2 linked regions of the Cricetulus griseus genome follow. The protein of the gene in region 1 interacts with the protein of each later gene in a biochemical or structural test. Links are inferred from orthologs where the notes say so. Each region holds a gene or a part of one and is shown on either strand. Other genes may lie near its edges.

Evidence for each region.
Region 2: the proteins of Csnk2b (region 1) and Tnfaip1 form a complex in vitro, tested with the Homo sapiens proteins (2 studies listed by BioGRID, with this or other methods). The link is inferred for Cricetulus griseus from reciprocal best matches to the Homo sapiens genes CSNK2B and TNFAIP1.

What each region holds. Positions count from the first base shown.
Region 1 is NW_023276806.1:231,638,743-231,653,906, forward strand, and holds Csnk2b (casein kinase II subunit beta), read right to left. Parts: upstream 7,033-15,164; 5' UTR 6,884-7,032; intron 6,331-6,883; 5' UTR 6,320-6,330; coding exon 6,248-6,319; intron 5,733-6,247; coding exon 5,630-5,732; intron 4,857-5,629; coding exon 4,741-4,856; intron 4,363-4,740; coding exon 4,287-4,362; intron 4,161-4,286; coding exon 3,971-4,160; intron 2,729-3,970; coding exon 2,638-2,728; 3' UTR 2,502-2,637; downstream 1-2,501. Other genes in the region: Gpank1 (G patch domain and ankyrin repeat-containing protein 1), read left to right, coding at 8,587-9,203, 10,130-10,574; CUNH6orf47 (uncharacterized protein C6orf47 homolog), read left to right, coding at 12,695-13,561; Apom (apolipoprotein M), read right to left, coding at 14,460-14,485. UniProt on the Homo sapiens protein: Regulatory subunit of casein kinase II/CK2.
Region 2 is NC_048600.1:91,907,973-91,923,136, forward strand, and holds the end of Tnfaip1 (BTB/POZ domain-containing adapter for CUL3-mediated RhoA degradation protein 2), read right to left. Parts: intron 14,017-15,164; 5' UTR 13,902-14,016; coding exon 13,697-13,901; intron 12,691-13,696; coding exon 12,521-12,690; intron 12,143-12,520; coding exon 12,053-12,142; intron 11,977-12,052; coding exon 11,924-11,976; intron 11,188-11,923; coding exon 10,992-11,187; intron 8,797-10,991; coding exon 8,560-8,796; 3' UTR 6,047-8,559; downstream 1-6,046. Other genes in the region: Poldip2 (polymerase delta-interacting protein 2), read left to right, coding at 1-78, 240-315, 528-635, 1,057-1,193, 1,919-1,945, 2,145-2,270, 4,229-4,308, 4,893-5,007. UniProt on the Homo sapiens protein: Substrate-specific adapter of a BCR (BTB-CUL3-RBX1) E3 ubiquitin-protein ligase complex involved in regulation of cytoskeleton structure.

The sequences.
Region 1 (15,164 bases):
CGCTCACTATGTAGACCAGGCTGGCCTCACTCAGAGACTCGCCTGCCCCAAGTGCTAGGATTAATGGTGTGCACCACCATGTGACCAGAAATTTTCAGTATTTCGTGTGGTAGCACACACCTGTGATAATCCTAACTCTTGAAAGGTGGAGGAAGGAGGGTCAGGAGACCTCATCTTAAAAAAACCTCAAACTACTAAAATGGAGATTTAACAGCTGCAGCCTCTAGCAAGCTGCATATTCGGGATTCTTGGAATGAACCAGCTTGCTCAATACATGTGGATGAGTTTCTCCTCAGGTGAAAAGCCAGCACCACCTGGACTACTGTTCCAGGTTTTGAGGGTTCAAGTGGGGAGCCTGTCCGCGTGCTTTGGTCTTTAGCTGAGCAGAGGGAGAAGGCTGTGGCCTTTCAGGGTAATTTGAGGAAGCCATAAAGACCAGGTACAGTGGGTAAGATTTAGCAATCCTGTTTGAATCCCACACTTATCTCTTTGGCCTGCCCACATCTGAACCTGACCCTCCCCACTGCCCGCACAGCAGATTTGGTTTATTATGGAGGGAAACGGGCTACATGACTAAGCAGAACAGCCCCTGACCCCCCCCCCCACCAGTCACCAAGTTAGGTGAAGTGAGGTCAGGGAGGGGGCAGACAGGTTGCCACACCAGGAAATCGGCACAGAAGTCACCCTTTGCCCTTCCTGTGGTAGCCTGGCTGTGAGGCTCAGGGCATAAGACAGGATAAAGAGCTGTCACACGTGACCAGACTGAGGGCACGTGAGGACAGGGACATTCACGGGCAGAAGCCATACCTAAGGCTCTGCAACAGGAGGGAGACAAGCCAGCACTGGCACCCAAGGACCCAGAGTGCTCAAGGGCCGCAGAGCAGTATCTGGGAAGGGGAGCGGGCCAGGGTCTAGTCTGGGGAGGAAGCACAAGTCCTAAGCTGGGGACAAGTGTATGAGACGCAGGTCAGCCATGGACACACCCAGCTCCAGGGCTGCCAGGGCCTGGTAGAACTGGTATATCTGGGACTCAGACAGGGGCAAGGCCAGACGTCTTCTTGGGGGCCCAGGCGAGGACTCTGGAGCTGGGCACTGGACCAAGAGTTGCAGTAATCGTCCTGACATCAGTCAGCCTTACACCAGTAGCCTGGGAGACAGGAGATTTGTGCTTTTCTTTACAGCAGTAGGAATTGTACTGTCCACAGCTTCCTACATGGAAGTGAATCTGAACACCCGAGGGGAGGGGACAGTTGTAATCCCTGTTAAAAGCTTCCCACAGCCACCAAACCTAACTTTCTTCAGCATTCATGCAGACCAGATTTTATCCTATGTACTCTCAGAAGAGGCTAAAAATAAAATATTCACTCACTTGTCTGCACACACACCCTCTTCCAAGATCCCAACAACCGTCACGAGGGAGAAGACCAAGCCACACTGTTCTGCCAGCAGCCCTTTCCATGGACTTTCTGTGGTAGACCGTGATAACCACACGAGGGGATGAACTGCTGACGGTGCACTTTTCTGACCAGAAATGAAGCCCATGGAAGGGTCTTCCAAGAGGCACCAGCAGTGGCGGGTACGAATATCAGCAACTGGAGCTTGGTACACAGACCCAGGGCCCTGGGCCTACCCTTCCCAGTTCAGTTCCCCTTCCTCCCAGGCCTCGGCCCTTACCTTTGCCCACTGCAAAGCCCACCACGGTCAGCACACCATGGTTAGCACACAGGCCTTCATTGTGGGATTCTGAGCAAGAGGAACAGCTCCTGTGGAATACGTCAAACCCCACCTTCCTGGGATCACACCCCTTAATCCTCAGAGGCAGAACAGTTTTGACAGGTAGTCTGAGCAGAAACTGCTGTGTTCCCACCTGGAAGAAGTTACCAGTTGGCAGGAAGGCGTGTCCTCACCCACAAGGCCTGGTTCCCATGTGGGCAACAGCTGAGCTCGGGCTGGATCTTTATCAGGTGTCTTCATCCTACACATGCCCTGGAAGACTTGTACCCCCACTTCCAGGGCCACGGCTTGGCGTCCGTCTGGGCCCTACCTGCTGTCCACCTACACAACAGGCTTGCTTCCTATTATGTTGGGGGAGGATGGCCAGAGACGCGCCCCCATCCTTCCCAGATGGACACACAGATAGCAGATCAACAGTTGTGGCTGTCTGCCTTCCCTGCAGTTCTATTTACTTTAGGGTTACATTTCCTTTAGTAGCAAACCTGAGAGTACTTCTTATGAAGCCCCTACAGTAGAAACACACACAGCCACAGAGCCCAGGTGTTTCTCTAGTCTCTGAAGTCTTTTCTTTCCAATCCTGTACTTGCCCCTACCCAACCCCGAATGCAGCTCTGGTATATTTAACTACTAACATTACCAAATCCAAGAAGCTGTGCTGTTTCCAAGCCACGGGCAATGGCCTAAGCTATGAGGATCCCTGGAGTCCCGCACACCACCACCTTCCCTTCCTCAGCCCTCCCCAGCAACAAGAACCAGCAGACAGCTCACGGCCTTTTCTTTTTTATTTCATGTTCCCACCACAATAACTATTCCTTTAATTTAAACTAAAAACCATAGACTTCCTGAAAGGGTGGAAGCAAAGGAATGGTGGTGTTAAAGATAGAGGGATGGGTGGGCGAGGAGTCAGCGAATCGTCTTGACTGGGCTCTTGAAGTTGCTGGCGGCTTGGAGCTGCAGCTGGTAAGCCATTGGATGAATCTTGAAACCGTAGAGCCTGGGCCGGGCAGAGGTCAGAGAGGCAGTAGGGTGAGCTACCTTCTGGCCCTCCAGTGGCTGGCAGCCCACCACTACCCCAGCCTCCTCCTCATGCCTACTCAATAGTTCGACAACTTCCTTGCTCATGAATACTTGATTTTTTTCCCTCATGAGTACTTGAAAATGCACACACACCCCTTTTGAGTTAGGGTTTCTCTGTGTAACAGCCCTAGCTGCCCTGGAACTTAACTCTGTAGACCAGGCTGGCCTCAAATAGTCTCTGCATCCCAAGTACCAGGATGTGCCACCATGCCCAGGTTAAAAATGTATCTTTTTTGGTTTATGTATATGAGTGCTCTGCCTGCATGTTCCTCGAGGGCATCAGATCTCATTACAGATGGTTGTGAGCCACCATGTGGTTGTTGGGAGTTGAACTCAGGGCCCCTGAAGAGCAGCCAGTGCTCTCAACCGCTGAGCCATCTCTCCAGCCCTCTTAAAAATGTATCTTAAACATCCACTAAAATTCAAATTCCAGTCCAGGCAGTGGTGGTGCAGATCTGTAGTCTCATTTATGGCAGAGGCAGAAGGATCCCTTGAGGCCAACTCAACCAACAAAGACCTTGTCAAACACTCCCCATCCTCACTCACTCACTCACTCACTCACTCACTCACTCACTCACTCACTCACTCACACACACACACACACACACCCCACCCAAACCAACCAAACAAAAATCCACACTGACAGTATAGCTCAAACAGAGTTTGTGCTTAGCAGGTAGGAGGCCCTGGGTTAAACCCCCATCCCACACAGGAAATTCCAAATCTGAGGAGCTATGGAATCTTTCTTCCCTGGTACACAGCAAAAATAAGATAGGGACGATAAGCCATACTGAACCACAAAAACTGAGGATTTTGGCAAAAAGTTGAGCATCTAACATGTCAGCAGCAGTAGCCACTGTTCAAGTAGCAGCTCTCATCTGCAACCCTGCTCTACGCGTAAGAAAACAGAGGCATGAGCCTCAGGTGGATCCCCAGTCACTCAGCAGGAAAAAGCCCAGACTTTGGGATAGGCAGGCCTTAAGAAAGGGCTGTTTGTCCTCAATTCTCCCAAGGTCTCGTATCGTTCTCTGACTCTCTGTGACTGTCTTTCAATTCTCCCAAGATCTTGGACCATTCTCTGACTCTCTGTGACTGTCTTTCAATTCTCCCAAGATCTCGGATCGTTCTCTGACTCTCTGTGGCTGTCTTTGCTCCCCACCTGGGTACAAACTGGTTGGCAGGTCGTTTGGGCCGGTACTCTGGATGCACCATGAAGAGCATGTGAGGGAAACCAGTGCCGAAGTAGGCGCCGTCCGTGTGGTGGTGCCTTGATGATTTGGGTGTGTACACGTCCATGCACTTGGGGCAGTAGAGCTTCACCATGGCCTCGCCTGGGATGTCCGAAAGGCCTGGGACACAGCCAGACCCTGAAGACCAGGTACCCCAAGTCCTCCCACCCTCCCACAGGGCTCAGGCACTGACCACATCAACCTGACTGGCAAGTAGTGCCCTCCTCTCCCCTCTCCAACACTCACCGATGGGAAGCATTGGCTGGTTCTCACAGTACACACGAGGACAGTAGCCAAAGTCTCCCTGCTGGTACTTTTCCAACTGAGGTGTGCAAAATGGAAGGGACTGGTGAGTACGTGTGCAGAGCACCTCACTTCCCCACCTCCCAGGCCTCCCACCTCTAACTAGAAGCCCTTCTTTGTCAAGACAGGTCCTCAAGCTTCCTTCTCAACTGCTTTCCTCAAGTTGGCAGGCTGCAGAACACAAGGGCCATTTGCTCTCTCTGTTCCCTATCCATGGCCTCATCTCCCTCCCTGAAAACAATACCTTCAGTAGGACCCTCAGTGAGGATTGGATTCTCAGCCCAGCTCTGGGCTTCTCCTCGTCTCCTCTGCTAGACTTCTTGACAGGTACGAAACATGCCTTCTGCCTCATGCACCTGTTTGTCTCACTGCCTCAGAAGCAGGAGCAGAGCCTCACCATTTGGGCGATGCCTCGGTTGGTGAGGATGTATCGGGCGTGGATCAACCCATAAAGCATCTCCGCTGCCTGTTCAATCAGGTCACTCTGGTTGGGGTTGTCTTCCAGCTCTTCATCTGAAAGGTGGGATGGCCACTTGTACCCCACCTTATCCCCAAGGTGGCCTCCTACAGTTTATCCAGCACCTGTTTCTGACACACCCTATCCATCACCCAGGCCATCAGCACTGCCCTCTCTCCACACCTCTCTAGTCTCTGCCAGCTTCTTCCCCTTCCCAACACATAAACATAATTGCAGAGGGTGGCACTCTAGACCAGCAGGAGGAAAGCAGCAGCACACAACACACCAGAAGACTGGCATTGTGAGAGACAGTGGAGTTACATTTGGAGAGCATGGAAACAAATGTTACCAGTCCCTGAAGGCAAGGGTCAGGTAGGGAATCAAAATAATGAAGAAGCCAGGCAGTGGTGTATGTGCCATACAAAACCCAGCACGTGGAGGCCAAGGCAGGAAGAGCAAGTGGTAAAGTCCAGTTTGGGTTATGAATGGAGAGGAGAGGTGGGGGAGAAAACACATAAACAAACAAACAAGCGAGCAAGAGACTCGGGAATAGACAGAAGAGCTAGAGAATCAAAAGGAAATTTAGAAATTCAAGAAGCGGTTGGGCAGTGGTGGCACATGCATTTAACACCAGCACTCGGGAGGTAGAGGCAGGTGAATCTCTGTGAGTTCAAGGCCAGAGAAACCCTTCTGGAAAAACCGAAAAAGAAAAGAGAAAAATTCAAGAAGCAAGCGAGCAGAGACCAGAATAAGAAGAAACCAAAGCACACACAAGTGCACATATCATGGACCCCACACGCAGCGACGGCCCTGGGGGCAGGCACGTTACCAGGCTCCAGGTCCAAGATCATGTCTAGAGCTTGCCGGTAGTGAGGCACTTGCTCATTGAGTCCAGTCAGATTAAACTTGTCCTGGATGTAGTCCTCATCCACCTACCGGGACAGGGGAGTCAAGAGGTTGAAACTAGTGTGGGAAGCCCCGTCTTTCACCTGGCCCAGGAGACAAACGACCGCATCGGCTCCCCTTGTTTCCTATTCTCACTTCTGCAGAGGTGTTCCGTCTCCCACAGAAACCGCAGCTCTCTTCTTTCCGGGCCAACAAGGTACAGCGCATTATTCAACTTGTCTCCCTCCTCTAAAGGACCCGGGTTTGCTCTCTGCTCTGGGACATCAGACTCTCACAGGCATTGATCATTTCCTACGTTACCACACTGTGGTTTTCATGTTACATGAAACATTTTAACTTTCCTGACGGTCACCAGCGATACCTCTGTTAGCCATGCACAGAGTGAACCCCAGCGCTCAGGAGACTGAGGCACTAGGATTGCCAGGAGTTCAAGGACAGTCTGGGCTACACAGTCAGCTTCGGGGGAAATCTCATCTCAGACAACATACAACGAAAACACCGAGGGCACGTGGAGAGGGCCCAGAAAGCCAGCTAAACTCACCTCACAGAAGAACTCATTACCACGGAGCCCACAGAACCAGGAAATCCAGGAAACCTCCTCAGAGCTACTCATCTTTACGTCGGCTGAGGAAGAAGGGCGTTAAGTGGAGACCAGGCTGTTTCTTGGTCTCTTCCCTCCTCCCACACACACGGTCTCCTCAACGGCGGAGGAATCCGAGGCCACTGGCGTTGAGTGGCCCCGGCCCGTGAAGCACCGCTCTCCACGCCTCTCTTCTTTACCTCAGCCCCCCGACAGCGTGGTGAGAACCAGCTCCACTCCTTCCCAGGGGGTGACAGGTCCCGATCTGTGGGTGTTGCCCGGCGCGAGGCCAGGCCCCGGCCCCCCGGCCCCCCGGCCCCCGGCCGCGCGCGGCCCGCGCGGCCCCACCGAGGCACTCGCCTGGCGCCCGTCCCGAGGCTTCCCGAGTCCATCCTCCCCCCCGAGCCCGCCTCTCGGGGCCTCGCGGCGCCGGCGGGAGCCCCGCACCCCCGCGGGACCCACGAGCGTCCCCACAGCCGCTCCTCTCCTCAGGCCACCCGGCCTCCTTCGGCCGCCGACCCGGTCCCTTCCTTCCTCGCCCCCACATCTCGGAGCGCGGAGCCCGGCGCCGCGGCGCGGGGACGAGCGCAGACTCACCGGCCGGACGGGGACTGGGACTGGGGCGGGGAAGGGGAGCCGAGCTTCGAAGGAACCGCAGCGACCGCTACAGCGCAGGAAGCCGAGCGGACCGCGGCAGGCGAAGTGGGGAGGGGGGAAGGGGAACTGGGGAGGGTGGGGAGGGAGAGAGGGCAACGCGCAGGCGCCGAGGACCGCCCCTGCCCCTAGGGACGCCGGGAAATGGAGTCCCGTAGAGAGGCAGAAAGTGACGCGATGCGGGGACGGCGAACCACCAATCCCAAGAGTCCGCGCGCATGACTCCGGGGTCGCGAGGCCCTAGCGGAAGCCGCCTGGGGGCGGGGCGAGCCGAGCCTCCACCGGAAGCGGAAGCCAGGTTACAGCCGCCTTCCCGACCGGGAAGCCTGGGAAATATAGTCCTACGCGCTTTGGGCTCGGCAGGCTGCGAGCCGGCGCCGGCGGCCGCTGAGGTCCCCGCTGCGCGCCCGCTCCGTCCCGCTCCGGTCGTCCCTGCCGCCCCGGGGACTGACACCGTCGCCGAGGACCAGGCATGCGGCCCGGAGGTGCGGCTCGGAGTGCGGGGCTGAGGTCGCAGGGCTTGGGCTGCCGAGCCGGGCGGCGGGGGCGGGGGACCTGCTGCACCGCCCCGCGCGCTAACCTGAGGTGGCGCCTGCCATTCTGCCGCTCATCCCTTTGCACTTCTCCATGTGTTGCTGCTGCTTGCTGCTGCTGCTGCTGTTGCTGCTGCTGCTGCTGCTGCGGACCCCACGTGAGCTGCTTGCTCTTCGAGCCCTGCTCGGAGTAGCGGTGAGGGGCGCCGTGGTGTTAGCGCGTCTCGCGGCTGCCCGGCATCCCGCGGCTCCCTGGCGTCCTCAGGCCTCCCGGCTCCACAAGAGGGGCTTGGAGCGGGAGGGACCACGTCGAGGGTGGCGAAGAGCATTGTGGGGGCGTTATGTAAAAGTAGGACCCCAACCGACAGGTCCCCCTGGGCCCTCGCGCTGTCTGGGCACGCGATGCCTGACGCGGATGCTTGGGAAGGTTCCAGCGCGGGAAACTGAACCTTGTGGGTGTTTTGTTGTGGTTGGCTGCTGCGCATGCGTCTCTGTGCCAGGTGGGTGTCGGATTGTGTCAACTCTTGCAGATGACGAGAGCGCCATTTTTCGGTACGGAAGTGACAGTGCAACGCTTTTACCCCGACACCTTCTGGAATGATGTCACGCCTGTTTTTCTTTGGGAAAAGGAGACACCCCCCCCCAGCCCCACGTAAGATCGAGCAAGATTTAAAAGTCCCGGCCGATATTCCCTAACGGTATGTGTTACAGGGTGGGAAAAGGTTTTCAGAGACAGCCTGCTGTTTTTGTTTGAAGGGAGAAGGGAGTAGAACGCAGGGCCCCTAGACAAGTGCCTGGGGGAACATTCTTTCCTATTATCATTTTTTTTTTCTTTCCTGTTGTAGAGATAGAACCCAGACCTCCCAAATTCGAGGCGAGCATTCTACAAAGAACCTAATCTACCATGCCCTCATGATACTTAATTAACATCTGTTCAGCATCTGCCATTCCAGGGGTCTACAAGATCCTAGGGTCGGGGAGTGAGAGGTCTGTTTTAGTTCTAGGCGGCTTTCTCATCCCAGCAGGCCCTGGGGGTGGTGCTGGTCATTACATCGGGTTGGAGTGTTCATCACAGCCTTTCCCAGCCTTCTTTCCTCGTTTCTCCCCAAAGCCATGTCCAGGCCGTCCCTCATCGCATTTACTCCAGCCACCGACTCCAGCGACCTCTGGAAAGATGGGCAGCAGCAACCACAGCCTGAGAAGCCAGGGCCAGTCCTGGATGGGGCCGCAGCCCGGGCTTTCTACGAGGCTCTAATTGCAGATGAGAGTAGCTCCCCTAAGCCCCAGAGAGCTGGCCCTGTCAGAGGACAAAAGAGGAGGAAAAGGAGAGGGACCAGGGAGGCTGCGGCGGTGGCAGCAGGAGCCTCGGGGCAAGGAAGGCCACTGCCACCAGAGGATGACGACAGGATGACCCAGTGGATCCTGCTGGCAGCCCAGAACGGGGATCTGACAGAACTTCGAAGGCTGCTGGAACCCCGGGAGGCAGGGGGAGCTGGAGGGAACATCAATGCACGCGATGCCTTCTGGTGGACTCCCCTGATGTGCGCCGCCAGAGCAGGCCAAGCGGCTGCCGTGTGCTATCTTCTGGACCGGGGTGCTGCCTGGGTAGGAGTCTGTGAGCTGGGAGGCAGAGATGCTGCTCAGCTGGCCGAAGAAGCGGGCTTCCCTGAGGTGGCCCGCATGGTCAGAGAGAGCCGTGGAGAGACAAGGAGCCCCGAGAACCAGAGCCGGTGAGGAGGGAGCGCTAGCTCATACCCACCTTTATTGTGTTCTGCCTTTCCTGGACACCCCATTCGGGGGCTCTTCATCCTCCAGTGTAGCTAGTTCCTGTCACAGAGCGACAATGGCCATGGTCTTTGCTCACTAAATCTTGGCTTCGTTTTCTTGCAACGTCAGCCTAATGTCTGTAAACCTCTCCTTGTCTGAGAAGTGGGGATAAGCACCTGTCTCGCAGTCGTTAAGATGCAGCAGGTTAATGTGGAAAGTGATGGAACAGTGGCTGTCACATAGTGTGGTCATAAGCATCAGCTCGCCACACGGTGATGGCGCACGCCTTTAGTCCCAGCACTCGGCAGGCAGAGGCAGGCGGATCTCTGTTGAGTTCAAGACCAGCCTGGTCTACAGAGTGAGTTCCAGGACAGCCTCCAAAGCTACAGAGAAACCCTGTCTCAACCTCCCCCGCAAAAAAAAAAAAAAAATAAGCTTTAGCTCTACTCATTATTCCTAAGAGCTGAGGTCCACCTCACGGTATCCCAAATGGTCCCTCTGCACAGATGGAGAGGGGCTGGTATAGCTTGGCAGTGGAACACTTGGCTAACACTTCGAAGACCCCGGGGTGCCTATCCAACGCAAGATAAAACAAAAATGATGCTAAGCCGGGCGTTGGTGGCGCATGCCTTTAATCCCAGCACTCGGGAGGTAGAGGCAGGCGGGTCTCTGTGAGTTTGAGGCCAGCCTGGTCTACAGAGCAAGTGCCAGGATAGGCTCCAAAGCTACACAGAGAAACCCTGTCTCGGAAAAAAGCAAAAAGATGATGCTAAAATTAGAAGTAAGGCATGAAGTGTGCCACCCTGCTCCACCAGGTGCCTGAACAGCCTTGGCTTCCGTTGTCTCCCTTCTCTTCCCTTCCCTGTAACTTTTCTTTCTTTCTCTGCAGGTCTCCCCCCACCGCCTCCCAGTTCTGCGAGGACTGTGGTGCCCACTTTGAAGACTCCAACCACCGCACATCAACTGCTCACCTGCTGTCACTGTCTAGGAGTCCCCATCCCTCCAACCTTCCCCTTGGGGTGCCCACCTCCAGTCCTGGCTTCAGGCTGCTGTTGAGGGGTGGCTGGGAACCAGGAATGGGCCTAGGACCCCGGGGTGAAGGCCGTGCCAACCCTATTCCCACTATCCTCAAGCAGGACCAGGAAGGACTGGGCTATAGACCTGCACCCCAACCCCGAGTCACACATTTCCCAGCTCGGGATACCCGGGCTGTGTCTGGGAGAGAAAGAGTACCTCGAGTCGCCACACTAAGTCAGAGGGAGAACAGAAAGAGAGAAGAGAAGGACAGAGCCTGGGAGCGAAATCTGAGACTGTACATGAACCTTGAATTATGACTGGTTCGGTCCAGCCTGTTGTTACTTGCTGGACTTGGACCCCTGACATGGGCACTTGAACTTGTACTTCCTGGGATCTGCCCAGATACCAGACCCTCAGGTTTTGGCACTTGGCCTCTGTTTCTAGAGAGAAGGGCTGAGAGTTGAGAGATAAATAAACTTCCTTCATTATGGTTTGTTTACTTTCTTGCATGATATTGTAGAGCACTGGAGAAAATCTGAGTCACATGGAAGCCTCACCCAAGCCATAAAGGGCAAGCTCTCCAGGTGACAGAGAACCCCTATCATTGCTGGCTGCAAATATCTGTTCTTTGGAACCCCCCTGAGCTAGGAATTCCCCGGTTCTGTGCAGACTCCCCTTCAATAGATCTCTGGGCCAATCTAGTCGATTCAGTGATGTTTGTCACAAACCAAGTTTGCTATATGCTGAAAATAAACCTTCAAGTTCTGAACTCCCTGAGGAGGCCAGTTGTGATTAAATGTAATACCCTGGTGACAGGGAAGTCGAGTCCTGCAGGAATGGCCAGTGTGACCTAACATTATCCAACCTGTATGACATCCTAGCTGGGACCAGAGCTCTGACCTCCCAAATACAAAGTTGAAGATGATCTTTTCCTTTTTTTGTTTTGAGACAGTCTCAATTTGCTGGCCTCAAACTTGTTATGTAGATCCAACTACCTCTGGAATGTCAAAATTGAACTGTGAACCTCCACAGCCGGTTTTGCAGAGTAGGGGATGTAACCTAGGGCTTCGGATCTGCTACGCAAGCGCAGGTATGAGTTACATCCTTAGTCCTAACACAGGCAGCCCTGGGACCCCATTTCACACCCTGAAAACAGGCAGCACGTTTTGTTACATTTTTATTCCCTACTTGGCACCCACACCCACTTGGAATGCTCATACCAAGTGCTAGGAACACGAAAGCTTACAAGTCCCGGTCAGGAAGGGCAAAGGGCAGCTGCTTAGGTCACGCGTCTCCTGATAGTTACCTTTCTGGACCAGGAATGGCCGGGGGTGTGCAGAAGAACAGTAGGGAAGCCGAGGCAAAGGACCAATTCAAAGCCAGCCTGGGCTACACATGCCCAGGCCTTTCCTGAGCTACCTATATAGGGATGACCGTGTCTTTTAAAACAACCAAAATCCCAAACAAAAAGCCAAGCACGGAAGCACGGGCGGAGGTGGGCGGAGAAGAGCAGAACTGGGCTGGCATTCAGGGTCTGGCTTAGCCGATCCCGTCTACGCCTGCGCTCGTGCGCTCGTGCATCGTGCATCGCGGGGGCTTCGGGGGAGGTCGTTCTGCCGGGTCCGCCTCCCTGGCTGCGGGGCTCCGCCCCCGCCGGGCCCTCCCGACCCGGTACAGCTGCTTCCGGGCTCGGGCTCGCACGCCTCCGGGAGGCCGCTCCCCGGACGCTGGGCCCCGGCGTTGTGCCCGGACCCTGGGTCCCCAGGTAGGCCTGCCCTGTGCCTCGGGGCTGCCATCCCCAAGGACGTCTCTGGTGTGACCTTGCGGAGGCCGCGTGCGTCTCGGCTGCGCCCGCGCGGGACAGTGGGGCCGCTTGGTGGAGCGGTGGCCTCCTAAGTTAAGGAATGCGTGCAACTGGCTGCAGCTCGCCGGACACTTCCATCCCGCCTTCCTCTCTCCCGGGACTTCCTGCTCCCTGAGCTCCCGCGGGCAGAGGGGCAGAGGCCCCTCAAATTCAGGACCGAGGACTCTGGGCCACCTTCCTTCCTTCTGCGATGGAGCACCACCTCCCCCCTGTTTTGGGGCACCTTGGGGTGTGGCCTTGGTGAGTGAAACTTAGGGTGCTGACTGCTTGGGAAGGAAATCTGAAAACACAGGACATTGTGGGGGTGACCCTGGCCTTATAAGGCCCTGGAAGTCTTGTGAGTGTGTGGGGTGGCAGATGGATTTCTTCTCCCCTAAACTGACAAGGAAGCGGGCCATTTACCACACTTGGGGCTATGTGAGCTTTCTGAATTCAGACTAGGACGACATCACCAAGCCGATACCTGTTCCGAACCGGAACAATTCCGGCTTCTGAGGAGATAGTTCCCCAGGAGCATCTTACGCAGTCAGGAAGTGGTGGCAGATTTGGAGGGGCTCGTCACACAGTTCAGGCATGTTCCTGCGAAGACTTGGCAGCTGGCTACCTCGACCTTGGGGCCGCAGGAAATCAACAAAGGCTGAATTGCCTGCCCCAGAAACCAGATGGGTGGACAGCTCCCCCGAGAATTCGGGCAGCGACTGGGACAGTGCCCCGGAGACAATGGGAGATGCGGGGCCTCCCAAGACCAAGGATGCAGGGAAACCGAGGACCCCTGGGGCTGCCCCGGGGACGAACAGGGAGGACCAAGTGGACCATCCAGGAGGCAAAAGAAAGGATTCCTTCGAGAGGGACAAGACTGTCTCTAGCGCTCAAGAGCCTTCAAGACTGGAGACTGGAGGACCCATTCCCAAGCTGGATTCAGGTGGCGCGAAGAACCATGGCGGGCCCCCCCACGGGGGAGCTGGCACCGCCGGACCAGAAGCCGTATTGGAGAAACCTGGTCGACGTCAGAAATTGCTGCGCTGGCTTCGGGGGGGCCCGGGGGAGCCCTCAAATTACCTGCGGGACCCAGAGGAGTATCTGCACATCTCCACCAACCTGACCCTGCACCTGCTGGAGCTGCTGGCCTCGGCCCTGCTGGCTCTGTGCTCCAGGCCCCTTCGAGCTGTCTTGGACGCTTTGGGCCTTCGAGGCCCTGTGGGCCTGTGGCTGCACGGGCTGCTGTGTTTCCTGGCGGCCCTGCATGGGCTCCACGCTGTGCTGAGCCTGCTCACCGCACACACCCTGCATTTCGCCTGCCTCTTTGGCCTCCTGCAGGCGCTGGTGCTGGCTGTCAGCCTCCAGGGACCCAGTGAGGATGAGGAGACCGCTGACTGGGAGAGTGAGGGGCAGGGGCAGGAGGTCAGGGAGCCTAGGGAAGGTCCAGGAAGGGTGCTGTGACTGGGTGAGGTCCGGGGCAAAGGGTGAAGATAGCGGTGTGGCCTTTAGGAGGAAGGTGGAGAAACCCAGATTGTAAGCACACTGACCTCAGGGATGGGGGGAGACTCAGGATCACGAAGGCACAGGAGCCCTGTCCTGCGAGTGACAGACGGGGCTTTTAGGGTGTCCAGTAATGGACAATGGGGCATCAGCGCTTGAATCACCAGCTGTTGTTATTTCCTTTTACATTTATCCACCTTTTTTTTTTTTTTAAATCACCACCTCCAATTTTCCCCCCACCTCCACTTTTTAAGAGCAAAATAAAATAAAAGTGATGGTGGAGAATGAAGGCCAAGGGGTCCTTTCTAGCCCCCGGGGGTGGACAAGGCCAGAGGCAGGGCAGAGAACTCTGCATGAAGAGGTGACAGGGAGACCATGCTGTCCCTTGGATCCTAGGACCGACCAGAGCCATCTGGTGGGGCTGTGAAGTGGGAGTTACTGGGATTCTAGAAGAGGCTACAGGGGTTGTGGTTCCTGCGGGGAGGGTCTGGTACTCAGTGGGATCCAGAAGAGACAGGGATGGTACAGGCCGTATTGGTGAGAGGACCAGTTCGGAAGGGCTCTGGGGGGGGGGGCAGCACAGCGCCTGTCACTCAGCAATAAATGTGCAACACTAAATCCTAAATACACCAGTACAATGTGAGAGGTGCTGTGTGCAGAGTCCTTCCTGGTGGCCAGCAGCTGGGGTGTCAGGTGGGAGAGGGGCGTGTCAACATGCAGAAGTGACTTTGAGGAGAAACCCAGGAGATGAGGATTGAAAAACCGTCTTTATTATCCTTGAGAGGGAGCAGAGGGTCTCCAGCATCTCCCTTGCAGCTCAGCGCCCACTTGGCTGTCGAGGACACAGAGGAGGTTAGCGTCACTTGCTGGACATCGGGCAGGCCTCTGTGACGGGAGAGGGAGAGAGTAGAGGATGGAAATTTAGCCCAGTTCCTGGTAATAGAGACCCCTCTCTTCCCTCCCTTTGGTCTCCTAAAGCAGTGGTTCTCAGCCTAAGGGGTGTGACCCTCTCTGAGGGGACTGAACGACCGCGCCACAGGTCGAATAGCAGAGATACCCTGTGTGTCAGATGCTTACATTATGATTCACAACAGTAGCAAAGTCACAGTGAGGAAACAGCAACAAAATCTTTCCATGGCTGGGGGTCAGGTCTTGAGTGACCACTGTTATAGAGACTCAGACACCTATCTTTTTCCTATTTTTATTTTTTATTTTTGAGAGACAGACTCACTACATAGCCCTAGCTGTCCTGAAACTCACTGTGTAGACCAGGTTGGCTTCAAACTTGTGGCGATTCTTCCACCTCTGCCACTGAGTGCTGAGATTATAGGTGTGTGCCACCACTTCTAACCAAAGCCTCTTTTTTAAAAAGATTTATTTATCTTATGTATGAGTACTCTATCTGCATGTACACCTTTATGCCAGAGGAGGGCATCACATCCCACTATAGATGGTTGTGAGCCATCACGTGGTTGCTGGGAATTGAACTCAGGATCTCTGGAAGTGCTCTCACTGCTGAGCCATCTCTCCAGCACCCCCAAAAAAGCCTCTTTCGAGTCACCCA
Region 2 (15,164 bases), on another chromosome or scaffold:
CACGGCTCTAAGGAGGTGAAAGGCAAAACTCACACTTACTATCAGGTGCTGATTGATGCCCGCGACTGCCCACATATAGTAAGTAAGCAAAGTGCCTGGGCCTGGGGTCCTCTCCATGGGAAAGATTTTCACTCATTTAGGGACAGAGAGGGGTCAGAGAAAACTCAGGTTAGCCCTGGACCTCAAGGCCTTTGGACTGGGTAGTAGCCAAGAAACCTTTGAATCACCTTCTGCTTTAGTCTCAGAGATCTCAGACAGAAGCTGTGACCTTCTTGGCTAACCATGATGACAGCCGGGCTCTCTATGCCATCCCAGGTGAGGAGTTAGCATCCAGATGGTTCCTGAGGAGCAGGGGTCTGGTGTGTCCCAGGGAGAGGAATCTGATGTCCTGTCATCTGCTGGGAGGGAACAGGGTACTTAGAGCTGTGGTGCCAGGGTCGCCTACCTTGGGCAAGGCCAGAAGGTATTTCCTCTCCGTCTCATTCCTCTGCTCTGTGAGTCTTACTAGCTCTGCCTCCCTCTGCCAGGCTTGGACTATGTCAGCCATGAAGACATCCTCCCCTACACTTCCACGGATCAGGTTCCCATCCAACATGAGCTCTTTGAAAGATTTCTTCTCTATGACCAGACAAAAGGTAATCTTTCAGGAAGGGAGGTAGGAAGAGGAAGGCCCTTTCTTTGAGCAGAGTATCAGAAGTAACTGGCAGCTAGATCTAGTCCCATAGCCCTTCTCAATTTCCCCTTATTTGGTGTGGTTGATGTCTACCGTAGCCTTATACCAGTAGGAACAGAGGCTGGGAAGCAATTACAATGGCTAGGTAGTAACAACTAGAGGTTTGAAAACCAGGACTCTTAACTCCCAGTCCTTTTCCAGGGCACCATGCCTCTTAGTACTTAATCTCAGTAGCAGCTCTGTACCTTATTCCATCCTTGCTTTTGCTGTATGTGTAGTCTCATTCCCTTGGGCATAACTGGGAAGGGGTTTCTGGGAGGGACAGTTGGAGAATAGGTGCTGTGCACAGGACTCTGGTCTGCACTAATGTGTTGTCCTTCTAGCACCTCCTTTTGTGGCTCGAGAAACACTACGAGCCTGGCAGGAAAAGAATCACCCCTGGCTAGAGCTCTCTGATGTCCACCGGGAAACAACTGAGAACATCCGTGTCACAGTCATCCCTTTCTATATGGGCATGAGGGTATGTGCTAGCCTGGGCTTCTTCCTGCAAGACTAGGCCCCAGATTCTGTGTGGTATCCCTGATACGAGTGTTGGGATGGGGTGGGAGTATATCTAATCCTAAACCCTACCCTGTGGGGTTGAGTAGCCTCTTGATAATGGCCAGCACCATGACTTAGAACAGGAAACCCACAGATCAGGAAGTAATCCTCCATGCCTTCCTTCTGGTAGAGACTCCTTGCGAAAAATATATACATATACTTGCCTAAATCAGTGTGGACTGATTATCACATTTTGTGATTAGTAGCCAAATATTTATTGATCTGTGTCTTGCCTCACTCCAGGCTAGGCCTCCAGATTCAAGTATAAATGGAAGACTTCTTGCCTGTTAGGACTCAGTCATAGGGAATGTCAGCATCTATCAAGCATGGTCATCAGAGGGCTGTAAGGAGAATGACAGGGGCCCATGTGGCAGTGATGGGGTCAGGGCTGGCAGGGAGGCTGGTGAGAACAGAGCGCTGTAATGGATTTCTGTTGGCATCCAGCTCTGTTGGTTTTAACAGGATTGGAGAGGGGGCGGAGCAGGAAGGATGCGGGAGGCTGCTGGCCATAGTTGTATCACATTCATCATTGGCTCCCAGACATTCACAGCTTGATCAGTCTCTGCTGCGTTCCAGGAATACTTCATTTGAGATGTGTTGGTTGGAACAGATTTAGTCTCATCCTCAACCCTTTTCCCCCTCCAGGAAGCCCAGAATTCCCACGTCTATTGGGTGAGTGTTTCCCTTGGTGGGAGCTCAGCAAGAGCCTGGGGGAGGTGTGGAGACAGTGTGCACCTCGTGGCCAGGGTGGATGCAGCCATCCAGCACTGTAAAATATAGATGTCAACTTTGTTGCTGTTTACTCTCTAGAATTCTGGTTGGGCTGGCCCGAGAGTTATTCTTCCTCAAACATGATCTCTTTTCCTCACAGTGGCGCTACTGTATACGCTTGGAGAACCTGGACAGTGATGTGGTACAGCTTCGGGAAAGGCACTGGCGGATATTCAGTCTCTCAGGCACCTTGGAGACAGTTCGAGGACGAGGAGTGGTGGGCAGGGTGAGCATAAGGGGGCCACTGGCCTAGTGCTGGTCCTGCTAGCAGGCCTAGGAACTTTGGGTGTGTTTTCTTCCTCTCTGGTCCTGCTAGCAGGTCTAGGAACTTTGGGTATGTTTTCTTCCTCTCTGGTTGTGGACAAAGTGACACACTGGGTTGTCTGTCACTAGAAATCTTACAACAGCCCTGCGGGGTAGCTTGTCTGTAACCTGTTTCACAGATGAAGAGTGAGACTTAGAAGCTAATTAATAAGGGATAGGGGAAGTAGCTCTTGGTAGAGTGCCTGCCTGGCATCATGGATTTGACCCTAGCACTGCATAGACTAGGCATGGTTTTATGTAACCATATTCTTAGACTTGGGAAGTTTAGGGTCATCCTTGACTGCCTGGGATACACAAATTCCTGTCTTGAAACACATACCTCTGGAAACCTGGCCCTCTCCAAGAGCAGCAAGCTCTTTCCAGTCCCAAAGCTTAGTACTCACTGTTGAGCAGCATGTCTCATTAGTCTTTCCACTGTACTCCAACACTTGAGGTCAAACTCAGGCTTTGTGCATGTTAGGCAAACACTCTGCTTATATCATACTCAGATGGCATGTCTTTTAAAACCCTGAATTTGTGGGAAATAGAGTCAGAAAGATCAGAATTTAAGGCTATATTTGGGCTACATAGAAAGTGTGAAGCCAGCAGGGGTTACATGAGACCCTGTTAGAAAAATAAAATATGGGCTGATAAGATGGCTCAGTAAGTAAAGGTGCTTGATGCCAAGCCTGCTGACCTGAGTTTGAACCCTGGAACTCACATGGTGGAAGGTGTGTACTGACTCCCTCAAAGTATCTTCTGACTTCCACATATAAGACACACACACACAATTAAACACCTTCCCTCAATAACAAACAAAAGAAGCACTTTCTGATTTTGGGACATGTACCAACTGTGTCATGTCTCTTTTTGTATTCATCCATTCATCTAGTGTTTCTTTCTTCTCTGTGGCTTTGGAGGCTGTCCTGAAACTGGCTCTTGTAGACCAGACTGGTCTTGAACTCACAGAGATCCTCCTGCCTCTGCCTCCCAAGTGCTGGAATTAAAGGCGTGCGCCACCAACGCCCAGCCCATCTAGTGTTTCTTAAAGAGATTTGATTTTATGTTCCCTGTCTATCCTACCCTGTCTCTTGAGATATTAAGTCACAAATGGTACTAGTGTCATCCAGCACCACTGTTAGAAGACACTTGGGAAAATGGGGTCAAAGAAAACAATGTAAACAGGGTTGGACTGTATGTGGCACACATCTGTAGTCTAGTACCCTGGGAGTTGAGGCAGGGTTATGGTGAGTTTGAGGCCAAGTTGGGCTACATGGTACATCTTTGAAAAACAAATTCCAGCTATATACAATATAACTTTGAGGCAATTTTTTTTTTTTTTTTTTTTTTTTTTTTTTTTTTTTTTTTTTTGCTGGAGACCAGTTTCTCTGTGTAGCCCTGGCTATTCTGGAACTTACTTTGATCCATCTGCCTCTGCCTTCCTAGTGCTGGGATCAAAAGTGTGTGCCCCCACGCCTGGCTTGGGCAAATTATATAATCCACATCTGTTTCTTGTTGCTAAAGTAGGGATTACATGTAGTACTTCATGGTCACCAAGAGAATAAACTCAGCAGGCAGAAGCCCTGCTGTTGTGCCTGGCACTTGTTCATGTGAGTGAATGCAGGGAGAGATGTTTTCAGAGAAAGCCTGCCTAGCACCTTCCCTCAGTACCCCCCAAACCCCCACCCCCAGTTTGTTTTTCCTAGAGAGGCTCAGGGCACCGCCCACCCTGTGAGAGGAGTACTGAAAGATGGTCATTGTAGGTGTGTGTGTGTGGCTGTATAGGTGGGAGGAGTCATCCAGTCAGTATCTGACAGCCCCAGGATGGAAGGAATGTATTTCTGGGCCTTGGCTTGACCAATTTTGCCTGAATTCTTTTAGGAACCAGTGTTATCCAAGGAGCAGCCTGCATTTCAGTATAGCAGCCATGTCTCCCTGCAAGCTTCCAGTGGGCACATGTGGTGAGTGAGTGTATGCTGGAGTATATTCTGCTCAACTCCACAGACAGCTGCTAGTGAGAACTGGGGAGACTGCACTTGGGAGACTGAGGCAGGTTTATGAGACCCTATTTCCATTCATGCCAACAATAACAAAGTGAGGACCCTGAGCAAGCTAAGCTTAGGGTCAGTTTACAAGAGTGAGGTCCTGAGATGGGCACACTGAATAACACAGGTGTTATTCATTGCTGTGGGACTATCTGGTTTTTATGACTATGAGTTCCTTACAATTTGTGGGCTAAGGAATTAGATCCCAAGACTTGGGACTGTACTGAATTGCTCATGTAGTTGGGTTTCCCCCTTAATCTCGAGTAAGGTGGTTTGCTCATACAGCACGTATCCAAGTGGCAGAATCTGAATAGTTGTGCTTCTGCGCATGGCCACATTGGGCTCTTGGATCTTTGTTTATTCTGCCATGAACTAGGCAGATGACAAGGCCACCTTCCTCGGGCGCTGTGGCTCTGGATCAGAGGACATGGGTGCACACAGATCAAGAGGGCTTTCAGTGCAGCCCTTTCTCCTTTTAAAGTGGCTTCTCTGATCCTTAGGGGCACATTTCGTTTTGAGAGACCCGATGGCTCCCACTTTGATGTCCGGATCCCACCATTCTCCTTGGAAAGCAATAAAGATGAGAAGACACCACCCTCAGGCCTTCACTGGTAGGCCAGCTGAGGTCCTTGAGTGCCCAGGTTGGGCTCCTCAGAACAGCTCTTAACCCATAATTGCTGCAGAACTCTAAGTCTCTCCCTATTATGGGCTTCTTAATTTTGGGATTCTTTGTTTGGAGGGAGATTGTAACTTTTCTTGGAAGACTCACCTAAGACTCCTCCAAGGTCAGCCCCGCCCGGCCCTGCCTACACCACGTTCCAACAAAGCTGTCAGGGAACTGTGTTCAGTTGTCACGGGTTGTCTGGAATGTGAGCCATGGTCAATAAACCAGTGCTCACTTGGCCATGCTGGCCCTAGGGTCTCAGGCTCCCTTGTTGACCCTGTGGGAACTCTTGGCTGTTTTCCTGCAAAGTCTCTTCTAGGAAGCTGCTGCCTCTGTCTGCTAGGGTGTGTCTTCCTCAGAGACTGGACATCTCCAGGGTACACTGGCTAACAGTGGGCTGTGCTGCACTGGACTAAGTTCTCAAGTCTCTTCGTTACCTTCCGCCCAGTATAGAGGAGGCCAGGAGGCCAGCATTTTGGGTTCGAGTGCCCCTGACTGTAAACACTGATTAGCCACCAGCATCTCTGGCTTCACTAGGCCTGGAGAAGAGTGAGGCAAAACCAGTCAGGTTTCCCGGAGCTGTGAGCTTCTGAGCATTGAGCAAAAGTCTGTCAGACACCCAAACCACAAGTGCAGGAATTCAGCCAAGAAGCAGCTTAAGTTATGGACAGTGACCAAGCCTAGCCGCTTTCCCAGCTTCTGTCAGATCAACAGGAGGCAGAATTGGGCTGCATTTTGTCCCAGTTCTCAGGGTTCCTTCACCACTTGTCACTGTTAGAGGTCCTTTCATTCTTGCATTATTAAATCTCAGTTCCAGTCCTTGTGAGTATTGTTGTTAATCTTCCGCCTGGGGGAGTGTGGGTGTGTAGGAAAACAAAGGAATGAGTCTTCTGACCTTCTAGAATACAGGTCATGGAGGGAACAGAATAAGAACTGAGCCCACAGCTGTGAGCTGGCCAGGCTCTACTCACTAGAAACATGGCTCAGCTCCATGGCAGTGTAACACAATTTTATTAGAAGTTAGTGTTTACTTCTATTGCTTAAGGGAAGCAACCAAGGATTGCAGGTATGCAGTAAAAGACACAGTCTTTCATGCCAGAACCTGTGCTACCCTTTAGGTAGACCAGTCACATCAATCCCAGGTTCAACAGAGCCTGTAGATTCATCCTGCCAAGAGCTACTGTAGGAATAGGACTGGAAAACCCACAAATCCCTAAGCCATACAGTCCAAGCAAAAACGCTCAGATCATTTCAGTTAGTGTTTTCCTTAAACCAAGGAGATGTTTTCAGTCAAAGATGATGAATACCCAGCCCTGGACTCTTGCTGCTGTGCAGGCCCAAGGACTAGACACCACTGATACGGGTGTCAGAGCACCAAGTAGAGAGGCTAAAGGGGATATGGAGGTCAAGGAACAAACTGGAAATATGTAGCATGGAGCTGGGACTCTGAATACTAAAGGGCTTCTTGGGGACAGCTGAGAAAATAGACCAGTGGCCTCATACAACAACATTCCAAAGTTTGTGGGAAAGCCTCAAAGCTAAAGCCTAAATTTGGTCAAAAAAATGGATTGTCATCTCACTTCCAGTGAGTTCTGGAAGAACTAGTAGCTGCTGATCACCAAGGTGCTTGACCTGAGCATCTCAGAGCTGTTTATACATTCAAGACTGTGATTAACACCAAATGATTACTAAGTCACGTTTCCCTTGCTCTATCATGTCATGTCAGGGCCTTGTGAGAGCCCAACCCTAACCCTGGCATCTGCCTATAGGCTCTGAGACGTGAGCTATGTGCAGCCGTTTGGCAGTTATGAGAGTGGTCAAGGGATGAAGCTGACATTCTGTGTTCTGTCCTGAGCACTGTTGATGGCCACACACTTTGTCAGGCTTGCAAACAGCTTCCTCCAGTGACAACATTCCTCTGGAAAGAATCCAGTTAGGAGGGCCAGGACCAGCAAGAAGGGGAGGAAAACCAAAGCCCAGAGGAATAATTCACATCCAGTCTAGACCTTGGTACCTCCATGGTCAAGTGACCCAAAAGAAATAGAGGCCTTTCAAAAGGCTTAAGTTGCCCTGGTTACTATGTATTTGGAGACTCGTCACTAAACAGAACCACTACCTAGAGCCAAACCATAAACCAAGACATGATGTCAGGAGCTGGGCAAAAGTATGGCGAAGCCTGGGCCACATCTGTGGGCATTCCTGGCAGCATGTGGCTATAAGAATGTGCCTTCTGCTGCAGCTGTGTTTCTGGCCTGCATCACAGCCTCTGGCTTTATGGTCTGTGGGGACAGCATGTCTTAGAGCTGAGCATACCCAAGTATGAGACCCAAACCAAACTATTGTGTTAGGTCTGGGTCAGTGATATGACCCTACAGGGGGTGAGATATCTTTTCCCATAGGGTGCTATTAAAATCATGGGCTCTACTTGGGTATCCTTCCCCTCCTGGTGTTCTTTGGGCTGCCCAGTCAGGTTGACAAAGCCAAAGCTAGTCAGTTTGCTTTTTTCTTGAGACAGTGTCTTCCAGGCTAGCCTAGAATTTTAACTACATAGCACAGACTGGTCTCAAACGTATGATCCTCCTGCCTCAGCCTGTGAGTGCTGGCATTATAGCATGTGCCAGACTCCTGAATGACAGACATACAAAGTGCTTTAAAGATGGGTTCTAGGGCATTTAAAGGGGTAGTGTGTGTGTGTGGGGGGGGGGGAGGAGTCTGCCTAGGTGGGGTCCTGGCATCCTGCAGGGTAACAAATGCTTAGTTCTAGGTTCTCCCTCATCAGGCTAGAAAATAGTCATTTCCTAGATACTTTGTGTGTGTGGCAGTACTGGGGATTGAACCCAGGACCTCACTCATACTAGGTAAGTATTCTACCACTAAGCTATGCCACTAGCCCTCTTTTTAAAACTTTGTATTGAGACAGTATCTTGCCAAGTTGTCCAGGCTAGTCTATAACTTGTTTTCCTGCCTCGGCTTCTCCGTAGCTGGGATTATAGGCAAGGCCACCATGCTAACTTCTAGATTTAAGAACAAAAAAAAAAATCAGGTCATACCTATGCTTAAACACCTTAAGAAAAAAAGAAGGCTGCTCTTTCTGTTCAAAATTGGATCCTTGCAGCACCAGGAGCCTCCTTTCCCATAGGACAGAACTGTTCCCATGGGCCTCAGCTGAGGAACTGAAGGAGCTCTTCAGCAGAGAGAAGGGCACTAAGCCAAGGGCCTGGGGAATGTTCTCCACAGGAGGTGGAAGTCAGTGCACTCACCCTAAAGTAGCTCCCTGCCAGGCAGGAAGTGGGGTGGCATCTGGAAGTGATGGGGGGAGCAGGACCAGGTAGGGCAGTGTGACCTTTCCTCTGCCGGGCTCCTTGACCTCCCAAGCAGGGCCCAGCACCACTATATGCTAGAGCAGGCTCCCAGCTCGCAGGAGCAGCATAGGATGGCCAGTGGGCTATGTTCCACAGGATAGCAGACATGGCTTCTTGTGCTCTGACTTCCTAAGGGTCTCATTAGTCTCGATGAGCAGACTGGTGGCCAAGTTGCCGGTCATCGTAAGTGCTATAGCGCTTGACGTGAATGCGGCGGACACGGTCCCGCAGTTCAAAGGCATCCTCATCTTCACTGGGGGAAGCTTGGCTGCGGCTCCGGCTTGTGGCCTCCAGCAAGGAATTGTCAGGGACTCGAGGGGTCTCATAGAGTAGGACGTTGAGTGTCTCCTCATATATTCGGGCCTCTGGGAATTCCACCTGGGAAGAAGGGAACAAGATGGAGTGAGGTCTCATTTCATGAGGAAACATTAGGGCTCTGAACCTTGTCTCTTCCATGAAGCCTCCTAACTTAGAAGTCAGGTAGCTGCCTGGCTAACAAGGGAAGCATCAGGGGACATGAGAATATAGATAAACGCAACCCTGCATCCCCACCCCAATCCACAACTAAAGACTATCATCATGGGTACGTACAGGTACAAACAACTCTGTGGACAAGATGCTATGTCTTGGGCCTGAGCTTTCTGGGCTGCAGTTTCTATGTGTGTAAAGTGATGTCAATTGCTACTTTCTTTGCTTTTGTTTTGAGACAGGGTCTCCTTATGTCCCAAGCTGCCCCAGATTCAGAATCTTCCTACCTCAGCCTTCTGAGCACTGTGATCCCAGGCATGCCTGCCAAGCTGAGCTAACACCTCTTGAGATTTGTCAACATTAAAAGAAAGACGTACATTCTTTAGCCCAGTGAATAGCCTGACACAGTAAACAACCAAATACATAATAAAAAGCAGCTGCTGCCAGGCGGTGGTGGTGCACACCTTTAATGCCAGCATTCAGGAGGCAGAGATAGGTGGATCTCTGTGAGTTCGAGACCAGCCTGGTCTACAAGAGCTAGTCCCAGGACAGCCTCCAAAACCACAGAGAAACCCTGCCTCAAAAAACCAAAAAAAAAAAAAAAAGCTGCTTAGCCAGGCTGAGTGGTACCTACCCATCTGTAATCCCTGCCACCTGAGGCAGGAGGATGGAGACTTTGAAGCCAGCCAGCCCACCTGGTGAAATCCATTTCAAAAAAGGGGTGGGGGAACAGAGAGGATAGTTCAGCTGATTAAGGTGCTTGCTACCAATCCTGCCAACTTGAGTTTGATCCCAGGACCTGAATGGTGGAACCCAAATGGAGAGAACTCTCTGGGCTGTCCTGTCATCACCCACCCACACAAATAAATGAAGTAATTCTAACAAACAGTTCCACTGCTTCTCTGACCCAGAAAGCCCCACCCCTAGGGTCAATGTTGAGGGAAGAGATCAGGACCCCAAAACTGTAGCACATCTGTCACACTGAGCTGCTGTGCCTTCATCTCAAGTGGAGAGAAGGTTCTAGCTGGGCAAGTCTTCTAGCTGGGGTGTGGAGGGTTAGGGGAGCACACAGAAGAAGGAAGAGAGCACCAAGGAAGAAGACTGGCACTGCTACCTCTGCTGTTACTCAGGTCCTGAATCCTGACTCCACTTTCACAGCCTCTTGGCTAACTCCATGCCATCTTTGTCTCTACCCCCCACTGCCAAGAACTGCCACCTCATATAAGCTGTCCTTTGGACAGCCCTCAGCAGATCACTCAGCCTGAGGCAATGTGGCAGTCTGGGGCTAAGGCTCTTGGGTCTGGATGCTTGCGCCCTTTATTCCCCCTTTTTACCCAGTAAAACCCTGCCATCTCCAAGTATATATTCTAGGGAGGATACCTGCTGGTCTCTTCAGGAAGGGAGGAGATGAATCTACATAAATTGTCCCCTACCAAGTAATTCACACAGCTGATTATAGTTAACTATATCTGTAACCCTAGTCCTAGTGGGCTGAGGCAGGAGGAATGCCAGGTGTTTGTGGCTAACCTAGGTTATATAGCAAGCTCCAGCCTGGGCTTCTGTGACCCTGTTTCAAAAAGAAAAAGTAAAAATAAAAGTTGCCCTGTGCTCATCTGGCACATCTGGCTCATCTGTGATGTCATTCCATGGGCTCAGGAAGCCAGCTGGCCAGCCTGGCTGTAAGAGCAGTGTTGAAGTGGAAAGCTACACACCGTGCTGCTTTGGTACCCTTGCCATGTACTGGCTAGACTCAGACTCATTCCCATATCTTCAAGCAGGGAAACAGACCAATGGCTCCCCAAAGTCAGACAACTAGAAGTGGTGGGACTAGAACTGCAACCTGAGTTGTGACAACTTCAAAGACCTGGTCCTTCCATGGCACCAGAAGGTTGCTGGTCAGTGGGCTTCTTTTTCAGCAACTGTTAACAGCTTCTGACCATTCCCAAACCCCTTTGTTCTGACTCTGTCCTACCTGGCACCATCATACCATGGTTTGGAAAGTACACGTGGCCCTTTCGTTACTGTGGGAAGGGCGCATTGGAGCAATACCAGTCGTCAACCCTGGAGTCTGTGTGATCTGTCCCCTATCAGAGGAAAGATCATACCTTTGTCTGCTTCTTCTCTGTGGCATACACGATGGAGGTGCAGCACACCTCTGCCAGCTTGCGACCCTGGCCATAGAAAGACCAGCAGCAGATTTCATCACCAATGACATCCTTGATGAAGAGCACACGGCCATTGAATCGCAGGGACAGCTTGTCAAACAGCTCAATGTTTTTCAGCAGGTGATCATCAGAGTTGCTGAAAAAACCAAAGGGCCAGCAGGCCTGGAATGAGGTTCCAACAAGCAGGGCTGCCGGGACATTCTGGTTCTCCACGCTGCTCTGCCCACCCCTACCCTATCATGCTAAAGTGAAGACAAGGCAGAGGGACAGAGAGGCAGAAAGGAACCTGTAGGACTTGGGGCTTGTGAGGAAAGGGGGTGGAACTGGCTCTCGGTTCAGCAGAGAGCACTGAGAGAAAGAAGTAACCCCTCATAAGCGTGGAAGGAAGGGCCCCTCTCTGTTACTTCAGTATACTGTTCTTTTGCTGTGGGCTGATGCAGGGTTCACAGGGGACCAGGAGAGTCTAGATCCATGTCTGCAGCCACCTGGGTCTACCTAACCATAGCCTGTTATGGGGACACAGTGAGGAACACCAGCTTCAGGAAGACTCCGTCCATGACTTCCTAGCACCTCTCTTCATCCACTAAAGCAATGGGGATTAAAATCCCTGGCACGTTACAGGCATGATTAACATTTTATCATTTATATCCCAACCAGGATTATATAACAAATCCCAAATGCCTCTGTCCTGAGTTCCCTTCCATCTCTGTTCATTGCCCTTAGCAAAGGTGGTTTCAAAACCCAGCCCCATGTTACGTGTGTTGGGAATCTGTGAAGTCCCTTGAGCCACTGCCCACGCCTGCTCTGGTTGCTCAGCCCTTTGGCTGCATTTGCCGCCCTCCCCAGCGCCCTAGCAGAGATGCCTGCCATACCTGGTGTATGAATACTTGTTATTGCTCCTGTTGTATAGCAGCTTCACCACAGGCTGTGGGAGAAGATGGAGTAAGGGTTAGGCCAGGAGCCTGGTGTCCCCAGACCAAGGTCCTAAGAGTGCCCAGTACCTTTGTGGAGGATTCGATGAGCCTGTCCTCTTCTCTCAGCGATGTGATGATGGGGATGTTACACACAGGCTGGTAGGAGTCTTTCTTGTCCTGGGTGACACACAGAGCAGAGAGCTGCCTTTAGGATCTTGTACCCCTCCAGGCCTTGCCACAGTCACCCCCTGCCTGGTAAGGAGGTACCAGACGGACCATGATGTTCTTGGTAATAGACATTGCCAGTTAGTAAGATCTCCACTGCCAGAAAATATGAAGCTCGGATATCTAAGTGAATGAACTAGGGGCACAGCCTGCTTGTGCTACCAAATGTGAGTATCTAGCAGCCGTTTGCTCGGGCCTGGGAGCACCCCATTGTTCTATTTGGGTTTGGACTCATCAACCTCATTTCCAATACAGCTTTCCAGGAGCCAAACCTAATGTCCCCAGAGGAACAATTCCCAACCTCATTAGGTCACCCAATTCTTCCCATACCTGCAGGGCAGACTGGCACATGTTCACTAGCCCCTGAATGAGGTAATATTTTGCTTCAGCCATCAATTCCTGGATTTCTTGCCGGTTTTGAGGGAGGGTGATGGTGTCATCTCGGAGGTAATTCAAGATGGTTCCAAAGTGCTTCCCACATCTGTCTATGAGGATCCAGCCTAGGAATTTAGAGGGATCCCATAGGATTACTGTTAGCCTCCAGCTGTGTTTTACTGTTTGCCTTCAGGCAAACGCCACCTGAAGAGAGGCAGCAGGCAGCAGGATGCAAGGAAAGGAGCTCCGTGAGAGAGTGCAGAGCCCAGACCAGGGGTGGCAGAGATTTGGCCTCAGGTCGGTGCTGCTTTTCCCTATCCTGAGTCCAGGAACTCTGTGCCCCCGAGAAGAGAGAGGTCTTCAGGGGTCTGTGCAGGACTGGATGTCTAAGCTTGGGGGAACTCAGGTCAGCCCAGTAATACAGAAACCACCAGTCTCTGCTTACTTTTGCCCACTGCCCAGGCTCTACTGTGTTTATGACGATTTTATTTGGATACCTATACATATCTCAGCCTTTTGGATGGTTTTTTGTTTTTCAAGGCAGGGTTTTTTATGTAGCCCTGGTTGTCCTGGAAAACACTTTGTAGACCAGGCTGGCTTTGAACTCACAGAGATCCACCTTCCTCTGACTCTTTGAGTGCTGGGATTAGAGGTGTGTGCCACCATGACTGGCCCATATGTCACCTTTTGAAACAGTCTTGCTGAATTGTCTGGGTTAGCCTCAGATTTGAGATTGAACTGCCTCAAACTGAGTGTTGGGATTACACGCCTGTGCCGGCATTCCTGGATTGAGATAAAGTTTGTAGCCTAGGCTGGCATCAAAGTCACTATGTAATGGAAGTTGGCTTCAAATTTCTGATCCTCCTGTCCCCACCGCCAAATGCTACGGTTACAGATGTGTGCTGCCACACCCAGCCTGAATATTTTTTAAGTTTGGACTTTTCCTCCGGATGACACATAAACACACAGCATTCTATGTACACTTTCAAGGAATTCTGGAGCCCTATTAAGACTTGTAAGAAGTGAAGTGGAAAAGTTAGATTCTGGGTCTACTGAGCCTTGCCCTGAGGTCGTCGAAGGATGCCCCTTTCTCTCCTCCCTTGCCCAGCATGCCCAGATACAATGCCTCACCTTCTTTGTCGGTCAGCACCTCCATGCGCCCACTGAACATGGCCTTGAGCATAGTGTCATGCCGGGTGAGGGCCCGCACTGTCGTGTAGTACAGGGAGCCGCCCACATTGAGCTGCACGTACTTGTTGCCCAGGCCGCCTCCCTTGAAGCCATTTATCTTGGGCTTGGCCCCCGAGGCTGGGCATAGACAGGTGTCCCCTGACATCTCCCGCTGCAGGTAGATCACCACACGGCAGGCGGTGGGCTTGGAAGGCTCTGCCGTGGTGGAAGTGGTTACGAATGAGTGGCCCACAGAGGCCAGGGACTCATACTCTTCAGTGCTGTAAGCAAAAGGTAGAGAGAACACGGAAGTCAACAGAGTAGAGATCACAAAGGAGGAGGGGACAGCAGTAGGAACTCTGACACAGTTTACCTTCTAGATAAACCCATGTACTCCCCAGCAGAGGCTAAATTCCTGGGTGTGCTGGTTAGTTTTTTTGTCAACATGACACATGCTAAAGTCCTTGGCCTGAAGGAAAGCCTGCAGGAACATTTTCCTAATTAAGGATTGATGGGGGCTGGGCAGTGCCATCCCTGGGCAAGTGGTTCTGGGTGGTATAAGAAAGCAGGCTGGGCAAGCCAGTAAGCAGCATTCCTCTATGGGCTCTGCTTCAGTTCCTATCGTCAGGTTCCTGTCACCAGTTCCTTCCCCGACTTCCCTTAGTGAAGAACTATGACCTGGGATGTGTAAGCCAAATAAACTCTTTTCTCCCCGAGTTGCTTTTGGTCAAAGCTTTTTATCACAGCAATAGAAAGCAAACTAGGATACTGTGTGACAATAAGAATGACCCCCTATGCTGTTCTCACAGTACCAGGAGCCAGGTCTGGGAGCATAAACTCCTCTAGGCTCAGTTCTGCTTTGGGTGGCAAAAAAATCCTTAGAACTAAGAACAGATGAATAGATCACCTTGGGATCCACCACACTGACTCCAGAAAATGTTTTCCCAAGATTCCAGACTTTCCAGACTAACTGACTGGGAACCTAGCCAGCCTAGGAGTTTCCCAGGAACCAGAGGGACAGGATGCATTTCCTGTCTCAGGAGTAGCCTGCTCCAGGACTCAGGTTAGCACCAGCCAAAGGAAGCCTGATCCAGGAAGGAACATGAATGTGGTTTTAAGAGATTGGAGAAGGCCAGCTTTGGAGGCAGCCAGCCAGGGAGCTGGCTGTGTGTGTGTGTGTGTGTGTGTGTGTGTGTGTGTGTGTGTGTGTGTGTGTCTGTGTGTGTGTCTGTGTGTGTGTGTGTGTGTGTGTGTGTGTGTGTGTGTGTGTGTGTGTGTCTGTGTGTGTGTGTGTGCCCGAACATGAATGTGGTTTTAAGAGGAGAAGCCAGCTTGGAGGCAGCCAGCCAGGGGCTCTGTGTTGTGTGTGTGTGTGTGTGTGTGTGTGTGTGTGTGTGTGTGTGTGTGTGTGTGTGTGTGTGTGTGTGTG